Kluyveromyces lactis: one gene and its partner. The protein of the gene in region 2 interacts with the protein of the main gene of each other region in a pairwise test. Links are inferred from orthologs where the notes say so. Each region holds a gene or a part of one and is shown on either strand. Other genes may lie near its edges.

Region 1 (3,067 bases), on a different chromosome or scaffold from region 2:
CTGGGTACGGCTCAGAATATTTATTTGAAGAAATTCAAGAAATAAGGGTCTTGATCCATTCTGATAAAATATTACTTTCATTCTTCAAGGAAAGAATCTCTCTCCGCAAATTCTCTTGAATCATTCGGTTTTTATCGTCCTCAGTTTGATCGTTTTCTGAAGACAAAGATATTGGACTCATCGGTAGTTTATTCCAATGTTCCAATTCGCTTTTCAAGCCTCTGTTCTCGTTTCTTAGCTTCTCGACTTCAGCATTGAGGCGTTCCAGACTTTGCTTTAAAGTCATGACTTCCTTATCCTTCAACCCAAGTTCATAGGTCAACTGTGCTAAATCTCCTTCTAATTCTGTAGTTCTAATATTCACCATCGATCGATGAAAATTATGGCGAGTGATATGCGTGTGTAATAATCCTTAGTTGAGTTTGCAAAATGAATTTGTTGTTAGTCCACAAAGCTGCTAATATTAAAAAGTCCTGTCACACTCCCTTTAAATATCAAGTGTCAGAGATCAGAAATAATATTCTGCACATTTGAATAAATGAAAGGGCACGTAAAAGAGAACTAAGCCAAAATATCGAGATGCCATCCATTGGTGCGATGTCTGCATATTAAGTTGGTTTGTCTTTGTGTTTAGGTCCATCAGACTGCCTTCCTTTTCTACTTTTTCTCTTTGATTTAGCTTTCTTATCTGATTCACTTGATGGATTTTTTTCTGGCTTAGTGTTTTCCTGCTTACGCTTCTCCGATTTCATTTCCTCCACATTGGCAGATTTAGACTTTATTTTTACCTTAGGAGTAACTTTAGAGGGAGTTTCCTTTGTTTCTTTGCTTGTTAAATCCTTCTTTACATCCTTGTCTTTGTCTTTATGTTTCTTTGATTTTTTACGTCTTGCTCTCTTCGTTACCTCCGAATCTGCAGGCATCTCTGGTTTGGGAACATCATCTTTCTTTGGTTTCAACAAAATCTTCTTCTTTGGCTTTTCTTCGGATGTTACCGCACTCTTCTCAGTTGTCGCAGTGTCAAATTTCGATGATTTCGGTTCAGATTTCGATTTAGGTTTAGATTTGGATTTGGATTTGTGTTTGGATTTAGACTTTTTGGGCTTCTCAACTTCTGATTTATCCTTAGAAACATCTTTCTCGTCCGGATTATCCTTGTTCTTTGCCTTAGCACGTTTCAGCTTCCTCTTCTTCTCTAATAGTCTTAACTTTTTCTTAATCTTTTTGATCCTCTTCTTCTTTTCTTCGCTTGTTGGATCACCAGCCAATTCTATTAGTGCTCTTTGCTTACGTCCGTTTAACTCTTCTTCCATTTTTTCTTCACGTTCTAATTCCTTTCTTAAAGGTGCAATAACACTTAAATTCTTGAACTGTAATGAGTTGGTTTCATCTTCATTAATCAATTTCCATGATTTGACAAAGGTTTGAAAGACATGGTCCTTTTGAATCGTGCCTTGAATAGGATTAACCTCGTTGGGACTGACCCACTTCTTAACGAACGGCGAGATTTGTAAATCTGGAATCATCGAGTTATCCAAATCATCTATGAATCTGCATGTTCTTATTGTTTTTGACAACGATTGAATGGTTTCGAAGGAGTCCAATTGGATATATGCCCTAGACAAAGTCTGTTTCTTGAACACCTTGCTGGAGTAATGACCTTGCACGTAGTAGAATGATTTTTGAAATGAATGCACATCGATGTTGTTCTCTTGTAAAGTGCTGATGAATTGCTCTTCTGTTAAATTTGGTGGTAAAGATCGAATACATAATTTGAATTCACGGGAAGAGTCAGCACTCCTCTTCCGGTACCTCCTTCTATTTCTTTTCTTAGAGAGCATTCGTGAAAGAACGCAGTTTTACTGAAGGATCTTGTCTGAGGTATTGTGATAACAGCTCATGTTTTCGTTAGGGATGCATTTGTGATGAAGAACAGATGTGCTAACTGAAATTTTTTAGTGCAATTAAGTAAAATAATACTATGACAAACATAAATGCAAATTGAACCGTAATCGTATCAGTAAGCTGGTAGAAACGTGAATATACCCAACGCAAGTCGGGGTTACAAATATGAATACAACATCGCAGTATAAAGCTTAATGGATTTCAAAATGTGTGTATTTGAGATATATCTACATAGTAATAAATACCGACACACAGATACACATCATATAAGAAAAGACATCTTTAAATATGGAATAATTGTGGGAAAGAATATGTATTGATAAAGTGAACAATTTGTCAACGTTACATTTATTCGTAGATCCAAGACAATTGGTTCAACTTGTAGTCAATAAGTTCTTCCTTCTTGAACCACAAGCCGATTTCCTTTTCAGCAGATTCAACAGAGTCAGAACCGTGACAGACATTTCTACCAACTTCAATGGCAAAGTCACCTCTGATGGTACCTGGAGCAGATTGCAATGGGTTGGTAGCACCCAAGATAGCACGACCTTGCTTAACAACATCCTTACCTTCCCAGACAGTAGCTAAAACTGGACCAGAAGTCATGTAAGACAATAGAGATGGGAAGAATGGCTTGGAAACCAAGTCAGCGTAGTGCTCCTTCAACAAAGCTTCGGTTGGAGTAACCAACTTAATACCAACCAATTTGTAACCTCTGTCTTCAAAACGAGCTAAGATCTTAGAGATCAAACCTCTTTGAACACCATCTGGCTTGATAGCAATGAAAGTTCTTTCAGTGTTAGACATTTTTCTCGAGTTAGTTAATACGTGATTCTGTGTACGATCCTGCTATGAACTAAGAATCAATGGAACATAAGCAATCGCTAACCCCAGAAGTTGAAATAAAGTGCATGGAAAGAAGAAAGTTACTGCAAATTGAAATCAACGAAATTGAAATATTTCTCGAGAGAGCCAACGAATGAGGATCCGATTCATGCTCGATGAGATTGGTGCAGACGAAGAAATGCCGGGGAAAATCGAAAATGAGAGAAAATTTTTCCGGCACGTGACTTTGATTAGTTGATGTTTGGGGCTTCTTACTGAGGAAGCTGTAAAAGTATGGTTCATCATACACAATAGCAGAAAGGTGTCCATATCGTTA
Region 2 (4,340 bases):
GTTGTCCCAATGAAAGAGGCTCCATATTTGAGAGATCAGTGCAGGACCCCTTTTGCTCTACTTTTTACAATGATGATCAAGAACCACTCGAGATACACAGTCGTGCAGAAGATTCACTGTATGAATTGAATCCATTGCAGGAGGAAACGCTGTACTATAAGATTCCCAGTGATAATGAAGAAGAGTTTCAGGAGGTAGAGCTTGGAGGGAACCCATTCCGTTCGAATATGATGCGTGGAGATACTTCTTTGAAGGGGAAAATTGGATCACCATCAAAGTGTGGTTGTGTGGTATGTTCGAACTGCCACGGGCTAAGGAAACCTAGATCGAAATCGTCCGCTTCTTACAATGGATACAGTTTCTCGCTAGATTCAAACCCAGTCTCAAGGACAAACAGTATAGTCATTCCATTGTCTAAACAACCCACAAGACAGAGCATTGCTTCTTCTGTTGGATGTCTAGATACAAACAATACCATAAATAATAACAGTCTCTCTTTTGGATCCCCAACTAATATCACTGACGAGGGCGCAATAGATCCTAAATCTTCCAATGGATCAAGATCGTCCATTAGCTTATCTACAAATGCCATTCCAACACACTTATACAGCTTGGAGAGATACGTAAGTTCTGAATTGGATTCAGCGACGGAATCCTTCTTTGATAAGTCAAAACAATTGTCAGACGAAGCTTCAACTCATGGAACAGAAGACACCGTCTCTTCATCGTTGGCAAAAATGTCATTACGAACTTCACCTCAAAGTTCAAATAGCACAATTGCCAATCCAAACACCTACACTAATAGAACCATACCAGAAATACCGTCAGGAACTCAATCAATTAACCAATATTCATCTTCACATCCACCACCATTTTTGGACGCAAGAAAAAGAAGAAAGTCTTTCATTGAACAGGCTTTATCAGAGAGTTTCTCATAATAAAATTCACAACCCCAGTCTTCAACCACCCTCAGTTACCCCAATCATAATCATCAGTATACCCTCATGCATCAAATATATAAACGTAATAGGACATAGACTGTCACCTAATCACTATTTAATTACCCGACTTTTGCATGCATTTGCTGATTCTTTTTTTTTTTTTTCAGTTTGTGTACTTCACATCTCATCTCACATCTCATCAGAAAATGCATCAACTTCCATACATAAAAGTATTTAATCATAATATGCTTCAACAGTTATTATTTCCTATATCACTTTATCTGTATTTTCAAGAAGTTCTGTAAATTGAGCATCTATCAATGTGCTGAGTAACATATTTTGATTTGTGACTCTGACTCATTTCTTGCGAACTTTTTTTTTTGGTTAGTTCGATCTATTCTGTTCAAAGCTATTCTTTGAAGTAGATTGTACACGACTGGTGCCTTTATTATCTCAGTACAATTAGAATCAAGTTTCCTTATGACGATGCGTTTGCCAAATGAACCGTTTGATTCAGATTCGGACTCAAACGAATCTGTTTCTTTGAGAGACGATGACGACAAAAACTTTTTCTACGATACTGATGAGATGCTGGACGAGGAATACTCTGAGTTCCACGGCACTGCTGCTAATACAGATCCTATTGCGGAACATGCTTGTGCATATTGTGGTATTGATAATACTTCATGTGTTGTCAAGTGTAACATTTGCAGCAAATGGTTTTGTAATTCGAAAAATGGTACTAATAGTTCCCATATTGTGAACCATTTAGTTTTATCCCATCATTCTTCAGTTTCATTACATCCAGACTCAGAGCTAGGAGATACTACTTTGGAATGCTACAATTGTGGACGTACTAATGTGTTTGTTCTTGGTTTTGTTCCGGCTAAGAGTGAGGCTGTTGTGGTCTTGTTGTGCAGATTGCCTTGTGCTAAAATGAAGAATGTTAATTGGGATACAGATAACTGGCAACCACTTATTGAAGAAAGGAAGATGCTATCTTGGGTGGCAGAAGAACCAAGTGAAGAAGATCAGTTGAAGGCCAGGATGATTACTCCATCTCAAATTACGAAATTGGAAGCAAGATGGAAATCAAACAAAAACGCTACAATTATGGATATTGATATGGTCGAACAAGATGAAGATATTCCTCCGACTTTGATGAGATACACTGATGCTTATCAGTACCAAAGATCATTTGGTCCTTTGATTCAGTTAGAAGCAGATTATGATAAGCAATTAAAGGAATCACAGGCCTTAGAACACATCTCTGTCACATGGGATTTAGCATTGAACAACAGACATCTAGCTACTTTTGCATTATCCACATTCGAATCTAACGAATTAAAAGTTGCCGTTGGTGATGAGATGATTTTAAAGTATAGTGGTCCACAACATGCAGATTGGACAGGAAAAGGTTTCATCATCCAGCTACCAAACAGTTTCAAAGATGAATTTACTCTTGAATTGAAACCAAGTCAAAAAACTCCACCAACTAATTGTACTACAGGATTTACAGCAGTTTTTGTATGGAGGGGAACTTCTTATATTAGAATGCAAGAAGCGTTAAGAAAATTTGCTGTCACCAAAAAATCATTATCAGGGTTCTTGTATTATAAGATATTGGGCCAAGAGGTTCCAGATGTGGAATTTGATGTAGAATTACCCAAAAGCATTTTTGTGCCTCACTTCACCGAGTTAAACCAATCTCAAAGTAATGCTGTGAAGCATGTTTTACAAAGACCTTTATCATTGATCCAGGGACCTCCTGGTACCGGTAAAACCGTCACTTCAGCTACCATTGTTTATCATTTGTCTAAAATCCACAAACAGCGTGTTTTAGTTTGTGCACCATCTAACGTTGCAGTGGATCATCTTGCTGCCAAGTTGCACAGTATGGGTTTAAAGGTAGTACGATTAACTGCTAAAAGTAGAGAAGATGTGGAGAGCTCAGTGTCCGAGTTAGCATTGCATAACTTGGTCAGCAGGTCTGCAGAAGGTAAACTCAAAAAACTTCTCAATCTTAAGGAAAAAACAGGGGAACTTTCCTCATCGGATACCACGAAATTTGTGAAGTTAGTGAGAAAATCAGAAGCTACCATCATTCAAAAAGCTGATGTTATTTGCTGTACTTGCGTCGGCGCTGGTGATAAAAGATTGGACTATAAGTTCCGCACAGTATTGATCGATGAAAGTACTCAAGCGTCAGAACCTGAATGTTTGATCCCTATCGTCAAGGGAGCCAAACAAGTTGTTCTAGTTGGTGATCATCAGCAACTTGGTCCTGTCATTTTAGATAGAAAAGCTGGTGACGCTGGTTTGAAACAATCTTTGTTTGAAAGATTAATTTCCTTGGGTCACATTCCTATTAGATTGGAAGTCCAATATAGAATGAATCCACAATTAAGCGAATTCCCAAGCAACATGTTCTACGAAGGTAGTTTACAGAATGGTGTCACCATCGAGCAACGTACTATTGCAAGATCTACCTTTCCATGGCCAATTCATACTATCCCTATGATGTTTTGGGCTAACTATGGTCGTGAAGAGATCTCAGGCAATGGTACTTCCTACTTGAACAGAATTGAAGCCATGAACTGTGAAAAGATCATTACAAGACTATTCAAAGATGGTGTCAAACCAGAACAGATTGGTGTTATAACTCCTTATGAGGGGCAGAGAGCATATGTTGTACAATATATGCAAATGAATGGTTCGATGGAAAAATCATTGTACATGGGCGTTGAAGTGGCATCAGTAGATGCTTTCCAAGGTAGAGAAAAAGACTATATTATTTTGTCTTGTGTCCGTGCCAATGAGAGAAACACCATTGGTTTCTTGAGTGACCCACGTCGTCTAAATGTTGCGTTGACTCGTGCTAAATACGGTCTAATAATATTGGGTAACCCAAGGGCACTATCTCGCAATAGCTTATGGAGTCATCTACTACTTCATTTCAGAGAAAAGGGTTGTCTTGTTGAAGGGTTTTTGGATAATTTACAACTCTGCACAGTCCAATTGACGAAACCTTCTAGGGCACCCAGGAAAGCCCCATCCAACAACAGTAGTTATACACAATATGCTGGTCAGAGAGACTTTGACACTCAAAGTTTGGTCTCATTCGGTGGCCAAAACGTCGTTGAAAAATCTTTTATTCCAAACACGGACTTGTCTTCGTTATTGAACCAACAATATTGGAATGGACAGTCTTTTGATACACAATCGCGCTTAAGTGCTACGCATCCTGTTAACCAATACGATAAAGACGCGGTCAATTTTGATGGAAGTTTATCCAATGGCTTAAGGAAGTACAATGGAGTGGGCTCAAAGTATCAAACCATTGATGAAGAATCAACGTTAAACATACTCAAGAGTTTGGACATCAATTGAACATGAACG

Evidence for each region. The genes of interacting proteins can lie anywhere in the genome.
Region 1: the proteins of NAM7 (region 2) and UPF3 interact in a two-hybrid assay, tested with the Saccharomyces cerevisiae proteins (2 studies listed by BioGRID, with this or other methods). The link is inferred for Kluyveromyces lactis from reciprocal best matches to the Saccharomyces cerevisiae genes NAM7 and UPF3.

The regions. Positions count from the first base shown.
Region 1 is NC_006040.1:317,499-320,565, reverse strand, and holds UPF3 (Upf3p), read right to left. Parts: upstream 1,842-3,067; coding exon 609-1,841; downstream 1-608. Other genes in the region: KLLA0_D03751g (uncharacterized protein), read left to right, coding at 1-45; KLLA0_D03740g (uncharacterized protein), read right to left, coding at 35-367; YNK1 (nucleoside diphosphate kinase), read right to left, coding at 2,254-2,712. UniProt on the Saccharomyces cerevisiae protein: Involved in nonsense-mediated decay of mRNAs containing premature stop codons.
Region 2 is NC_006038.1:566,487-570,826, forward strand, and holds NAM7 (ATP-dependent RNA helicase NAM7), read left to right. Parts: upstream 1-1,421; coding exon 1,422-4,331; downstream 4,332-4,340. Other genes in the region: MBR1 (Mbr1p), read left to right, coding at 1-938. UniProt on the Saccharomyces cerevisiae protein: RNA-dependent helicase required for nonsense-mediated decay (NMD) of aberrant mRNAs containing premature stop codons and modulates the expression level of normal mRNAs. Also capable of unwinding double-stranded DNA and translocating on single-stranded DNA.